2 linked regions of the Saccharomyces cerevisiae S288C genome follow. The protein of the gene in region 1 interacts with the protein of each later gene in a biochemical or structural test. Each region holds a gene or a part of one and is shown on either strand. Other genes may lie near its edges.

Region 1 (8,480 bases):
CAGTGCACTTTTATATCTCTTGTCTTTGAATTATTGCAGGCATTCTTTTATCAGGAAAACAGTCATATACAATACTTTTTTTTTTTTTCATTATCAAACCTTTTTTTTTTTCCTGGTCTGGTTTGGGAAGAAAAAGCTCTCCCCCTCGTGTAATTATGCACGGGTAGGTAGGGTAATGGCATGAGGAAAACAATAGAAAATTATTTTAGAGCAATATACAACACAGCGTCGCTTTGCAGAAAAAAAAAAAGAAAAAATTCGACTGTCGCAGCCTCTTATTTTATGTCATTACAGTTAATTTATTAGAAATTAATTTTATAAATTTTGATTTTTTCTCATGCCTGTTTTTGATCGTGAGATGGGAAATTTTTTATGTAAAAAAGTAATGTAATATAGTAGTAAAATAAATAAATAAATCATTAATATTTCCTGTGCATTATTGTTAGTTTATTAGTAGATTAGTTCCTGCCTAAAAAAAATTTTGCACCATTGTATTATGCTTATGAAGATTCTCTTTCAAATTCCTTCGTCATGTCAGCATTGTCAATAGCACCGCAAACAGTTTCACACATGATACCTGTAACCAAGTATGGGTCGATGTTGGAAGCTGGTCTACGGTCTTCAAAGTAACCGTAACCTTCCTTGGCGACGGATCTTGGGATTCTAATTGAGCTACCTCTGTTGGCGACACCAGAAGAAAAGGCAGTCATGGAAGCGGTTTCATGTCTACCAGTTAATCTCATGTCGTTATCGCTACCGTACAACTTAATGTGTTCAGCGTGTCTCTTGGATAACTTCTCGATGGCTTGTTCGATGTATTTCATACCACCTGGTTGTCTCATTTCCTTGGTGGAAACGTTAGTGTGACAACCGGCACCGTTCCAGTCACCCTTCAATGGCTTTGGATGGAATGAGATCTTGATACCAAACTCTTCTGCCACTCTGTGCAAAAAGTATCTGGCCATCCATAATTGGTCACCCATGTCAATACCGGTACATGGACCGACTTGGAATTCCCATTGAGATGGCATGACTTCAGCGTTAATACCAGAAATTTCTAATCCGGCATACAAACAAGCTCTGTAGTGAGCTTCGATCATGTCTCTGGCATAAACCTTACCGGCACCAACACCACAGTAGTAAGGACCTTGTGGAGCTGGGTACCCACCCTTTGGCCATCCGTAAACATCGTCATACATGTCAAATAGAGTGTATTCTTGTTCTAGACCAAACCAGATTTCTTCATCCTTATGAGCAGCAAATAGCTTGGCAGCTTCGTGTCTGTGGTTGAACTTGTTTGGAGTACCGTCATTGTTGTAACATGCGGCCAAGACAACAATGTTGTCACCTCTCCTGAAGGGATCTGGGTAGTAAGCAACGGGTTTCAAATAGATGTCAGAGTCGTGGCCTGGCGCTTGGTTGGTAGAAGAACCGTCGAAGTTCCATTCTGGCAATTGGTCAATGGATGTGATTCTCTTCTTCAAAGTTCTACCTTTGGAACGTAAGTTACCAGTACCATCGATCCAAACGTATTCGGCAATTATTCTACCTCTTTGGTCCAGTTCTAGATATTTTTGTAAAATTTGAGTCTTTTCGATGCTTGCTTCAGCCATTTTTGATTATATTATATTATATTATGTTTAATTTTTGTTTCGGTTGAACTTCTTCTATAAATGAAATGAAGTTAATTTCTCACAAATATGTATGTGATTCTATAGTTATCTTTGTGTGATGTTCTTACCTAACGAAAACAAAGACAGAACAACCTACGAACCAACCAAGCCTGAGAATTCGATATATAGAATCACTCCCTTATATATTACAAAAAAAGAAATCTACAAACTAAAATAAAAACATGGCAAACAATATGCGTCGGAGTCATCTTTAATTCATTATCAAGCCTACTACTTACACCTGACCGCTTACACTAACAAATGAATTAATTTTTCACTCTTTTTTCATATTACTTTTCTTTTTTTCATCCTACTTTTTCTTTTTTTGTTTGTGTTTCGCTACACAGGACATCAATGCGGCATATCAGCCTACTCTCCTGCCAAAAATAGTGTACTATTTTCGCATATTTGGGGAATAATAATGACCACAAATGGCACTATGATGCGAAAAAAATTTTCGATAAAACACCGTCTGGCATCGTCTGTGCGGACCAACTGCTGTAGAAGACTTTTTTTTTTCTGCCTTCGCGAGCTTATCTTATCTATTAGGGGAGCGCAGTCATCAATTGTAAACAAACGTGCGAAGCGATCCGTAGTCCTATCCGGGTAACACTCATCGTCCGGCCTCCGCCCCCTTTTCCCCGGGAGAACCGTATGCGGGTACTGGGTTTAGGGGATCCTTGTTTTGGTTCTCGCGAGTGTTTTTCCGATTGCGAGATTTTATTTTCCCTTTCGCATCATCCGGACGAGCCAAAAGCGCCATTGTTCCGGCCGCACGTGCAGCGCATGTGTACTTGCGCACTTTTGTTTACTATTGTCCTGACAAACTGATTACCAAATGTCTTTGAACAGGTGGGACAAAGAGAGACAAAAAAGCGGCTATCATGTAGCTGGGACGATATTCCGCCGCCGGGTAGCGCATATTGAAAAATGGCTGTTTACAGTGGGCCTCACTAGCTTAGAGTTCATCTCTATATAACTATTTATACAGTTTTTTTATATTAGAATGGGTTCATCGAGTTATCGCGTTTGTTTATATGTCCCTCACTCAAAGTAGGGGGTGGACTGAATCTTGAAGGAAACCCGCTTACTCCTTACTGATAGCTACTACCGGCGCTGAGAAAAATGGGTCGAGATCTCATCTCCTTCTAGCCGCCTACAATCCCTTTTGGATATTTGCGCCTTACCACTAGTTTGTTGCGTTCGTAGCCTGCGACTGCTTTCTGTCTCTTTTCAGCGTTTCGTAATCTTCCTTAGAGTACCATTTTCCCAAGCTCCATGATGGCAGATTGGCCATTGTAAGGGCGCCCAGCCATCCCTGGATTTTACGGTCCATCATGACTTGGTTGGCAAAAGTTGTCAATTTGTATTGCGGGAACCTGATTGACAGCTCCTTTATTATGCGTTGCTCCATACCTTCGATCAGAGAGGTAGATCCTGTGATGATGACGTTCGTCAACAGTAGCGAGTATACTTGTTCTGGTGATATGTTGCTGCTGCTGGCAGTACTGTTATTATCGCCAACATTGGTGTTTATATGGCTTGTACCCAATCCGTTTGGGTTGGTGGAGGTATTGGCCTTCATTGAATTTATACTAGCGCCGGCCTTCTTGACTGATTTTGCCATTAGCGGTCCCAGTCCGTCCTCTGGTGAGAATTTGTCTGATATCAGTTGAGGTTTGAAGAGATACTCTGCGAATTGGTAGCACTCCTTAAGGTCCAAGGTTAAAGTCTTGTTTAATGGCTTGAATAGAAAATTTTTCTTTTGAACCAACGGATTGTTGGGGCTTCCCGTTAACGCCGTGTACTGAAGTTGCTGATCCATTTGTTTTAACTGCTCCTGTTGCTTAGCGTATATATCTGCTTGCTCTTTGTAATACCTTTCCAACTCAAACAAGTCCTTTTCGCTTACTTGCAACATAGTAGACTTGAATTGCTGAATCCACGTGCTTGCTTCGTACCAAACGTCGGTGGACCTTTTTTGCTCGTCGGCCATGTTTTCCATGTCGTTCTCTTCTTTAATCAGTGGAGCCAACCTTTCGTGTACTTGAAAATCCAAGAAATCACCGCCAAATTTAGATCTCACTACAGCATTCTTCACCACAATACCGTCAATGATGGGAGTAACGTTACAGCCTGACGCGCCGATATCAATCACGAATGCAGAACTCTTGCCCATGGATAGGGCAATTGCCAATGGCTCGATTACAATCTGGAATACTGGTACATTTAATTTGTCGAACGCCAGCTCATAGTAGCGCTCTAATATGGCCATGTCCGGTTTACCATTGGTGGCAGGCATCGTAATCACCAGTGGCAGTTCCTCGGGTGAAACTTTCAATTGGGTGTCGTACAGATATCTCCACTGCATCTCCAATGCGTCCCAATTGTACGGTAACCCTTGGCTATCTACCAATGTATACACCTCGTCACCATTGCGTTTTTCTGCCGCAGCGTCTATCATATTGTAGGTTCCGAATATAAACTCAGCTTCCCCCCCCTCATCTGTTCTTTTAATATAGCTAGAGGGTATAATGCATTGTGGCAATTCAACGTTACTAAATCCAGCCACCGTTCTGTGCGATCCGTTATGTATCACTACGCACTTCCTATTCAATGTCATTCTTGACAGATCCTTTATAATGTAGTAATTCTCGCGCTTTTGCTAATAGCCTACTACTCTGTTCTATCTCTCTTGTTTACCATTTTCCGCTTTGTTTTCTTGTTTGAGGTTTGCTTTATTTTTTCTTTATTTTCTTCGAAACGCGGCCATCATTTTTTTTTTTCAGGATCACTCAAGGTGAACAAGTCTAAGTATTGAAAGGTGTGAAGACTTGCCGATGATATACTTATATGAACGCCGTGATGCGTACGTCTTTGATGGAAATATTGTATATATCTCTTTCTTTCCTTATAATCACTGTTCTCTCTTGTGTAATAAGTAAATCTATTCGTTTCCGTGTAAGGCGATAATTTTTTTGTTTGAAATTTTTTATCAAGTTTTTTTTTTTCTTCAATTCTAACCAGCTCGAAGATGACTTATGGCCTTGATCGACCGGGCTTTTAAATGAGTCTTACGGCCCAATGTGTTACTTTAGAATAGTTCCTTTCTGCTCGTCTCTTGCTTAATGCTTAGTAGATCACTAAATAAAGTAGTCACATCTATAAAGTCGTCTTCGATAATCAGGATGTCATCCGCTACCGCTGCTGCTACTTCTGCTCCTACTGCTAATGCTGCTAATGCTCTAAAAGCTTCAAAGGCTCCAAAGAAAGGTAAACTACAAGTGTCTTTGAAAACACCTAAGGGTACGAAGGATTGGGCTGATAGTGATATGGTTATCAGAGAAGCCATTTTTAGCACTTTATCTGGCCTATTCAAGAAGCATGGTGGTGTCACTATCGACACACCTGTTTTCGAGTTAAGAGAAATTTTAGCAGGCAAGTATGGTGAGGACTCCAAACTGATCTACAACTTGGAGGACCAGGGTGGTGAATTATGTTCTTTACGTTACGATTTGACCGTTCCTTTTGCCAGGTACGTTGCCATGAACAATATTCAGAGTATCAAGAGGTATCACATTGCAAAAGTCTACAGAAGAGACCAACCAGCCATGACTAAGGGTCGTATGAGAGAATTTTACCAGTGTGATTTTGACGTTGCAGGCACATTCGAATCTATGGTTCCTGATTCCGAATGTTTGTCCATTTTAGTGGAAGGTTTGACCAGTTTGGGAATCAAAGATTTCAAAATCAAATTGAATCACAGGAAGATTCTTGATGGGATCTTCCAAATCGCTGGTGTTAAAGATGAGGATGTGAGGAAAATCTCTTCTGCTGTCGATAAGTTGGACAAATCTCCATGGGAAGCAGTCAAGAAGGAAATGACCGAAGAAAAAGGTCAATCCGAAGAAACTGCTGATAAAATCGGTGAGTATGTTAAATTAAATGGTTCTTTGAAGGAAATTCACGCTGTTCTATCCGCAGATGCCAACATTACTTCAAACGAAAAGGCTAAACAAGGTTTGGATGATATTGCTACTTTGATGAAGTATACCGAAGCATTTGACATTGACTCATTCATCTCTTTTGATCTTTCTCTTGCAAGAGGTTTGGATTACTATACAGGTTTGATCTATGAAGTTGTTACTTCTGCATCTGCTCCACCAGAGAATGCTTCAGAATTGAAGAAGAAGGCCAAATCTGCAGAAGACGCGTCAGAATTCGTTGGTGTCGGCTCTATTGCAGCCGGTGGTCGATATGATAATTTGGTCAACATGTTCTCTGAAGCTTCCGGCAAAAAATCTACTCAAATTCCATGTGTTGGTATTTCATTTGGTGTTGAAAGAATATTTTCTTTGATCAAACAAAGAATTAATTCCTCTACAACTATAAAGCCAACGGCTACACAGGTGTTCGTTATGGCTTTTGGTGGTGGTAAGGACTGGACTGGTTATTTACCCGAAAGAATGAAGGTTACTAAGCAATTATGGGATGCTGGCATTGAAGCTGAATATGTCTATAAGGCCAAGGCTAATCCTAGGAAGCAATTCGATGCTGCTGAAAAAGCGGGTTGTCACATTGCCGTAATCCTCGGTAAGGAGGAGTACTTAGAAGGTAAATTACGTGTCAAAAGATTGGGCCAAGAATTTGCCGATGATGATGGTGAATTGGTTAGTGCGGCTGACATTGTTCCTATTGTTCAAGAAAAGTTATCACAAATTCATGAAGATGGTCTAAATGAGGTCACTCGTTTAATTAAAGGATTATAAACTTGATAGCTCATGTATTTACAAACCTTCGTAAAACTAGACATGTATAATGAAAAATAAATCGATTCAAATTAATTTATAAAGCATATAGAACTAAAAAAAAATAAGTATAGAAGGAAGTTGCTCATTACCCTGTATGAATTAGTGTATGTATTTAAAAACCAAGGGCACCTTTCATTACATCTTTTCCAGTCTGCTCAACAGCCTCGTTCATTGTTTCTCCCATGGCGGTAGCATAGTCGTTGAATCTATCTTCAACGGCGTCCCATCTAGTTTCTACAGCTCGAGAAACATTTCTTAGTACCCCGTAACTACTGTTCCTGCCCTTACGGGTGGGCTTGGTATACTGGTGTTCCGGATGGTTCGCATTATTATCGTCTGAAGAACGCTCCGAGAAACTTCCCTCAGCAATGATGCTCTCTTTGTATTTGGATGCAGGTCTATTCACGCCACCCAATAATTCATTTAATTGAGCGGGAGTACAATATACAGTGCCTCTTGCCCACTGTAATGAATTTACTTGTGGCCTATAGGGAATCCTGATTCCATTGATGTACAGTGTGTCAGAAACTGGCGCTAGCGTATCCTGTTCCTTGACAGTAGAAAATAGTGACGCCTGAAATTCACTCACTCGAATCGCTATATCACCATTTCTTAAAACAGATGATTCTGTAATGTATTTTGCGGCAATTGGAAATGGAATATGTTCAGACATTTGTTCTTTGAAATCTGGAATAGTAAAAACTCTTAGATGGCCATTGATTTCTAATGTAATTATTACGGTTAGGTTCTTCCTATCATTATTTTTCTCAACGGTTGAGATGTAAGATAAACCTGTCGCGGCAAGCGGGTATTTGAAACCTTTATGTGTACTTTTAGATTTGCCCAGTGTTATTAATCTGATATCATCGAATCCAGTTATTAATACAATACCAGGAATGCAAAGGCCTTTACTTAAATTCTGCATTTTTGGAATAGTTGCCAAGCAGCTAGATTTTGTTTCCTTTGAAAATGCATCAATTTTGTGTATCGGACCCTTACTGGTAACATTAGTAATATCCATTAGTTGCACATCGAACTTTCCACCTGATGCAGGAAGAATTTTGTATGTGATTACCTCGCCCATATCAGTACCACAGACCATCAATATACTAGAGTAACCATCGTCTCCATACTCCATAATTACGAATTCGATGCAGGTAACACATGCGCTTTGAGCTCCCGAGATTTCTCTAATGTTTTCCATGTAAATGATTGCAGGACCTCTTCTATCGATCAACATAAGGCTTCCGGCAGCATATGCGATTCCAACAAATCCAATATTACTGTTGTTGATTGCAGATGTTTTCCCTTTGTTGGCATGCACGGCAGTTGATGGCATAAATCCCTGCCTAACACCGGTAGGTGCCCTGTCTCTCACATCGACGAGAACACCATTCGTATTATTCAAAGAAAACCGCCTGAAATTCATCTCCAGGTCACCGCTTTCTGGTCTGTTCTCAACACTGTAAAACTGGTTTACTTCATATTTGAATAAAACAACGTCTCCTGTTTCAATTGACACCGCCAACTCGAGAGTCTCTGCGGCAAAAGATATCTTATCAACTGCTAGTTCTTTGGCCTTGTTCAACGTTCTTGATAGATTCACTTCAAAGCTAGCATTATCTTGTATATCCCCATGGGAAGCATCGTATATCCTAACTGAGCCATTAGAATGGCCGGTAATGAATGCTGTACCGTACTCAGCGGGAAGTTTTTGCCTTTTTGTTCTAACCCCTCCCTTCAACAAATAATCCTTGTTTTGAGCTGCAGAAAGCGCACCAAGCCATAATTTGTTTGGTACAGAAGCGGCCATTGAAGTCGTGGCTAATGGTCTCAGCCAGGAAAGATTTTGAGGGAATAAAGAGGCTTTATCTGTAAATATTCCAGAAGGATATAGCATTGTTTCTATCTCACCGTTACCTAGGATTAACAAAATTAACCCCGGATTATGACATCCTGCAAAATACGGGGACTGTCTTGGAATTGGTAGTATATT
Region 2 (7,521 bases), on another chromosome or scaffold:
ATACCCGTTGACCTTTCAAACCAAGGACAAGAATTTTGTAAAAGCAACTAATCGAAAGCACAAACCATTTCTTTTTCTTTTCAGCCATTTATGAATTGCTCCCTCAGATTGGTGCAATCGAAAGAAGAAAAGTTTAATATCTTGTTTAGCACATAATTTTCGATGTACTTTTCTTTTTAAAATCGAATTATCAGCGATTATTCAGCCGGCTAAGAAGATGTTCTTATTGTTCTTATGCTTCAAAAATAAAGCATATCCAGGACTAATACATCCACTTCTACTTTAATAAGTACAAGTGCCATCTTTCTGTTGTAATACTTTCATCTCTTGTCTTGTTAGAATGAAGATCGGCAACGATCTACTGACTGGAGTTCGTGTTATTGGTATATTATAATATACTGTGTAGAGAACGATATAGAAAGTGAGAGACGGTCATCAGATTTAGTTGGAGCTGAAATTCAAGGATTGATAATGAAAAATGGAGAAAGAAATAATAATAACGTTATGTAAGAATATTGTACCTTGTTGTGGTTTCCCATACCCTCGAGCAGAACTTCTTACTCCCCCGTCTTTCTTGTCTATATATTTTTCTACTGCTATTGACATCATACCAACATATGGCGCTAATTTTTTCCTTGACCTTCAGTTTCCCCACATTCCTAAGTTCAATGTACTAGATAATTGAAAAGAGCCTTTGCATCTTCTGATATTCAGTAAAGCACGACCACGTATGGATTAAGGACTGGGCTCATTTCGCTAGTGCATGGGCAATTATGTTTTTAATCAGTGCTATGCACGATGACACGCGATAAGCTTCGCTTTTCTCAACCAATATATTTACTAAAGATTAATGCTCTTACCGCAGATTACACTGCATCGCTTCAATTATTCCTGAGAAGTATTAATAAGTACGCAGAATGGTTTTAGCCGTGTGTTCCTTCTCATATTGATTAAAGTAGAGCTAATCAGTAATACTTTCATACAGACAAGTGTCAGATAGAACCATCCAAGAATGAGTGGCTTAGTTAATTTTACAGCCGTGGTCAATACAATTAGAATATGGAGAATTTGCTTTGCTTACTGGTAGAAGATACGTAAGTAATCGCTAATATTATTACCATATATAACGAGAGGTTTACGGAAGCGACATTGTTGATTTGAATCATTGCAGCTACGGTCTAAGGCGGGAAGCTTAACCTCGGATTTGGTAGGTATAATATCGCAGATATTGTTCATGTCCAACGCCGGCCACTTATCGTACTAGAAGCTGTTTTCAATGAAGTGACCACCATTGTAATTACTACTGCAAGAAAAGTTATAGCCTACCATCCTGAGCAAATAAAGTTGCTTCCTGCTCAACTTTTTTTTTTCCTTGTATCATTTTATTTTTTTCTTGGCTCGCACTGCGCAGGTGACGGTAAAGAAAACAGGCCAGCTTTCACTTTCTATATATATTACTAGTGCAACCGTACTTATTCTCTTGTAAGGTTACCGTCTATTCATTCCGCTGCTGCTTCTAGTATCCTTAGAATCGTAATTGTTTACGAACAGTTTGTATTGAATCAGCTCCTCTCTTCTTTAGCCAAATACCGTCGGTAAAATGCAGTTCATGGGCACGGAGCAGTGCGTCATCGGTTCTATACGGTAACTTGACATTGCATGGATAAGATCTTTGATAGTAACATACATCTGGCTGGGGGAAATGCATGGCGTTCAGTTTCGGGGTTTGACCTTACTTTTTTGAAGAAGACTTTACTCAAGAGTGTAAGCTCCCTTGGGGGAGGACATATTACGGAAACAGGGTGTCCAAAAAACACCTATTGCGCTTATAACTAGTACATTGCTCAAATGAGGATTTTTACAAGGCTTAGCCCAGCCCGTCTTGTATTGACAAAGTTAAGCACCTCAAGCTCACACCAAAGTGGGCCCTAAGGGTGATCTGTATGCCAAGGCTAGCCTAATAGGAAAACCACCACCGGCAGTTACAACCTCCGTTAGCAACAGAGGGGGTGCCTCGCAATAGCCAAGGATAAGCCCCTCCTTGTTACTATGACAATCGCACTTTTCATGCTACGGCCATTTACTAATGATTTTCACCTCGTACCCGCTCGCTCCAGTATGGTGAAAATTTAGGGGAAGTGGATAACGTTGAAATACTATGGCAGAATCCTTATATATAAAACGATCGTTGATATTTTTTACAACAACCTAAAATGAGAGGGAAAAGGTAAATCAAGGAAGCATTATGTCGTTGCCAATTATCAAAGTCCATTGGTTGGACCATTCCAGAGCGTTCAGACTTTTGTGGTTATTAGACCATTTGAACCTTGAATATGAAATTGTCCCTTATAAAAGAGATGCTAACTTCCGTGCTCCACCAGAATTAAAGAAAATTCACCCATTAGGAAGATCTCCATTGTTAGAAGTTCAAGACAGAGAAACTGGTAAGAAGAAGATACTTGCCGAGTCCGGTTTCATCTTCCAATATGTCTTGCAGCATTTTGATCATTCACACGTTTTAATGAGCGAAGATGCTGATATTGCAGACCAGATTAACTATTATCTGTTTTATGTAGAAGGTTCCTTGCAACCACCTTTAATGATTGAGTTCATTCTTTCAAAGGTGAAGGATTCTGGTATGCCCTTCCCTATTTCGTACTTGGCAAGAAAAGTGGCAGACAAGATCAGTCAGGCATACTCTAGTGGTGAAGTTAAGAACCAGTTCGACTTTGTGGAGGGTGAAATTTCCAAAAATAACGGCTACCTGGTTGATGGGAAGTTGAGCGGTGCCGATATCTTGATGTCTTTCCCTTTGCAGATGGCGTTTGAAAGAAAGTTTGCCGCACCAGAGGATTATCCTGCCATTTCCAAATGGTTAAAGACCATAACCTCAGAGGAGTCGTATGCTGCTTCTAAGGAAAAGGCGCGTGCTTTAGGTAGCAATTTCTAAACCGTTTTGTTGCGTTCGTACGGCACTAGCAGCCGCGTAATTCGTTCACACACTTCAATACATATGTATGTATACGTATATAGTCTGTTGCGACACATAATAATTGACAGGTTTGACTAGCGAGTATGTATTATCAGGAAATATAAAAGAAAACTAAGCTTTACCTAACTTCAAAAGAAGAAGACCTGCCTATTCCACCTCTTTCAAAAGTTCTTCGATGGTTTCGGACAACGAAGAAGGTTTGGTTAGTGAAGAGTATCTTTCGTACACTTTACCCTTTTTATCGACTAAGAATTTTTCAAAATTCCATTTGATACCTCTCAAGCCCAACATACCGGATTTTTGGCTCTTCAAAAACTTGTAAACAGGGTCCTCATTGCCACCATTAACGTCAATTTTTTTCATAATGGGGAAAGTCACGCCATAGTTCAGTTGGCAGAACTGGGCAATTTCTTCATCAGAGCCAGGTTCTTGGTGGCCAAACTGGTTGCATGGGAACCCGATGATGGTAAATCCTTCGTCCTTATAACGTTTGTACAAGGCCTCTAGTTCTTTGTATTGAGGAGTGAATCCACATTTGGAGGCAACATTAACGATAAGCACCACTTTTCCCTTTAATTGGTCGAAGGGGAATGGTTGGCCTTTCTTGTCAACAGGTGCTAGCTTATAGAATTCTGACATGATAAACTTGAATACTTTACGAGATGACAGCTTGGAAGAGAGAGACGTGGAAAGCTCTGATGCTGTTTTTATTACTATTGCTTTTCCGATATTAAGGGAGCATACTGTTCCTCATGGTTTTTTCCCTCTTTTTTTCACTTTTTGACCTTTTTCGTAAAGTGGCTAAAAACGATAATGCAGAAAAAGAAGAAGGAATACAGGAAATAAGGGCTGTCGCGAACAGCAACAAGAGAAACAACTTATAATCTGTCAAAGAAGGGATATGGGCAAGGTTATTTTGATTACAGGTGCCTCCCGTGGGATTGGCCTGCAATTGGTGAAAACTGTTATCGAAGAGGACGATGAATGCATCGTCTACGGCGTAGCAAGAACGGAAGCTGGTCTGCAGTCTTTGCAAAGAGAATACGGTGCAGACAAATTTGTCTATCGTGTCCTCGACATCACGGACAGGTCTCGAATGGAAGCGTTGGTGGAGGAAATCCGGCAAAAGCATGGAAAACTGGACGGTATTGTCGCAAATGCGGGGATGCTAGAACCGGTGAAGTCCATCTCCCAGTCCAACTCCGAACACGACATCAAGCAGTGGGAACGGCTGTTCGATGTGAACTTTTTCAGCATTGTCTCTTTGGTGGCACTGTGTTTACCCCTCTTGAAGAGCTCGCCATTTGTAGGCAACATTGTCTTCGTCAGCTCTGGAGCCAGTGTGAAACCATATAACGGATGGTCGGCGTACGGCTGCTCGAAAGCCGCATTAAACCACTTTGCCATGGACATTGCCAGTGAAGAGCCCAGTGATAAAGTGCGTGCCGTGTGTATTGCACCGGGCGTCGTTGACACGCAGATGCAGAAAGATATTAGGGAAACATTGGGTCCTCAGGGCATGACACCCAAGGCTCTCGAGAGGTTTACTCAATTGTACAAGACTTCGTCACTGCTGGACCCAAAGGTGCCTGCGGCGGTACTAGCGCAACTCGTCCTGAAAGGTATTCCCGACTCTTTGAACGGTCAATATCTCCGCTACAACGATGAGCGACTGGGGCCGGTGCAGGGCTAGTACTAAACTATATTATGTAAAAGGGTATAGTTATAGTTTTTAGCTACTAAACTTTTATTGGGTTTGCGATGAGCGACAGTTTTGTGCGGCCATTTCTGTGCCAAGAACCGGATTGAATGTATCACCGAAGGAATTCCGCGGTGTTTTCAAAGAAATGAAGAGAAGACAGTATGAACATTAACTTTTGCATATATATACGTAAACGAAAAAGATCAAGTGCAATGGAAGAATATTGTACCTAAAAAAAAGGGTCTAACTACAGCGTGTAACAGGTTAAAAAAACATGGGTAAAGTTATTTTAGTTACAGGTGTTTCCAGAGGTATCGGTAAGTCCATCGTGGATGTTCTTTTCAGTTTGGACAAGGACACGGTTGTTTACGGTGTAGCCAGGTCTGAGGCACCCTTGAAGAAGTTGAAAGAGAAGTATGGCGACAGGTTTTTTTACGTTGTCGGTGATATTACCGAGGATTCCGTGTTGAAGCAGTTGGTTAACGCTGCTGTTAAGGGCCACGGCAAGATCGACTCCTTGGTTGCCAACGCTGGTGTCCTAGAGCCCGTGCAAAATGTCAACGAGATTGATGTCAACGCTTGGAAGAAGCTGTATGACATCAACTTCTTCAGCATTGTTTCCTTGGTTGGCATTGCGTTACCTGAATTGAAGAAGACCAACGGTAACGTGGTATTCGTCAGTTCGGACGCCTGTAACATGTACTTCAGCAGTTGGGGAGCTTACGGTTCTTCAAAAGCCGCTCTGAACCACTTCGCCATGACTCTGGCCAACGAGGAAAGGCAAGTGAAAGCCATTGCCGTCGCCCCAGGTATTGTGGACACAGATATGCAAGTTAACATTAGGGAGAACGTGGGGCCTTCCTCCATGAGTGCAGAGCAATTGAAGATGTTTAGAGGTTTAAAGGAGAATAACCAGTTGCTGGATAGCTCTGTGCCAGCTACAGTTTATGCCAAATTGGCCCTTCATGGTATTCCTGACGGTGTTAATGGACAGTACTTGAGCTATAATGACCCTGCCTTGGCGGACTTTATGCCTTGAGGATAGCAGGTACATATAAATTGTTACATACTAAGTCGATGAGTCAAAAAAGACTCTTATACATTTATACATTTTGCATTATTATTTTTTTTTTCCAGCGGAATTTGGAATTCCGCTCTCAACCGCCAAAATTCCCCTGCGATTTCAGCGACAAAGAGTCATAAAGTCATCCTCGAGAAACCACGATGAAATATATAAAAAGCCCATCTTCCCTGACGGAAACTGGTATTTTAGGAGGCATACCATAAGATAACAACGAAAACGCTTTATTTTTCACACAACCGCAAAAATGGCTGCCGTCACATTACATCTAAGAGCTGAAACTAAACCCCTAGAGGCACGTGCTGCCTTAACACCTACCACGGTTAAAAAACTGATAGCTAAGGGCTTCAAAATATATGTAGAGGACAGTCCACAATCTACTTTCAATATTAACGAATATCGTCAAGCAGGTGCCATTATAGTGCCTGCAGGTTCATGGAAAACCGCTCCACGCGACAGAATCATTATAGGTTTGAAGGAAATGCCTGAAACCGATACTTTCCCTCTAGTCCACGAACACATCCAGTTTGCTCACTGCTACAAAGACCAAGCTGGGTGGCAAAATGTCCTTATGAGATTTATTAAGGGACACGGTACTCTATATGATTTGGAATTTTTGGAAAATGACCAAGGTAGAAGAGTTGCTGCCTTTGGATTTTACGCTGGGTTCGCAGGTGCAGCCCTTGGTGTAAGAGACTGGGCATTCAAGCAAACGCATTCTGACGATGAAGACTTGCCTGCAGTGTCGCCTTACCCCAATGAAAAGGCATTGGTTAAAGATGTTACCAAAGATTATAAAGAAGCCTTAGCCACCGGAGCCAGAAAGCCAACCGTGTTAATCATTGGTGCGCTAGGAAGATGTGGTTCCGGTGCCATCGATCTGTTGCACAAAGTTGGTATTCCAGATGCTAACATATTAAAATGGGATATCAAAGAAACTTCCCGTGGTGGTCCCTTTGACGAAATTCCACAAGCTGATATTTTTATCAATTGTATATATCTATCGAAGCCAATTGCTCCTTTCACTAACATGGAGAAACTGAATAATCCTAACAGAAGACTAAGGACCGTGGTGGACGTATCAGCAGACACTACCAACCCTCACAACCCCATCCCAATATACACTGTGGCTACTGTGTTTAACAAACCTACCGTTCTGGTACCTACCACTGCCGGGCCTAAATTATCTGTCATCTCTATTGATCACTTGCCTTCTTTGCTGCCAAGAGAAGCTTCAGAATTTTTCTCTCATGATCTCTTACCATCTTTAGAGCTCCTACCTCAAAGAAAAACTGCTCCTGTCTGGGTTAGAGCCAAGAAATTGTTCGATAGACATTGCGCTCGTGTTAAAAGATCTTCAAGATTGTAGTTTACATTTAAAGTATATACATTATCGTTACGCTGACATTTACAAGTTTAATTTTTTTTTGACTTTTTTTAAATGACTTTCTCTTCTTTTAAGTGTACTGTCTTTTCATTATACACACATATATATATATATATACGTAAAAAAGCAGACTAACTGACAATTAAATCGTTCAACATTCTTGTTGTTTGCAGGTTTGATAATTTTGACCTGAATGCAGTTTTCATCCTTTCATTTCCCAGCAAGAACTTTGCTAATGCAATTCTCAAGTACTCTGAGATTAATTCGCTTATATGATTGATGGAACTATCTTGGTTGCCAAATTTGTACATGATGAACCATGTCAAAAGTAGTAGTGTTAAGGGTATCCAGAAAAATAT

The links.
Region 2: the proteins of GLN1 (region 1) and HYR1 form a complex in vitro, tested with the Saccharomyces cerevisiae proteins (one study listed by BioGRID).

What each region holds. Positions count from the first base shown.
Region 1 is NC_001148.4:635,341-643,820, reverse strand, and holds GLN1 (glutamate--ammonia ligase), read right to left. Parts: upstream 1,614-8,480; coding exon 501-1,613; downstream 1-500. Other genes in the region: ARP7 (Arp7p), read right to left, coding at 2,863-4,296; HTS1 (histidine--tRNA ligase), read left to right, coding at 4,802-6,442; Rab GTPase-binding protein SRO7, read right to left, coding at 6,597-8,480.
Region 2 is NC_001141.2:419,238-426,758, reverse strand, and holds HYR1 (peroxiredoxin HYR1), read right to left. Parts: upstream 3,632-7,521; coding exon 3,140-3,631; downstream 1-3,139. Other genes in the region: GTT1 (bifunctional glutathione transferase/peroxidase), read left to right, coding at 2,246-2,950; sepiapterin reductase family protein IRC24, read left to right, coding at 3,894-4,685; NRE1 (sepiapterin reductase family protein), read left to right, coding at 4,969-5,733; LYS1 (saccharopine dehydrogenase (NAD+, L-lysine-forming)), read left to right, coding at 6,023-7,144; MGA2 (Mga2p), read right to left, coding at 7,294-7,521. UniProt on the Saccharomyces cerevisiae protein: Involved in oxidative stress response and redox homeostasis. Functions as a sensor and transducer of hydroperoxide stress.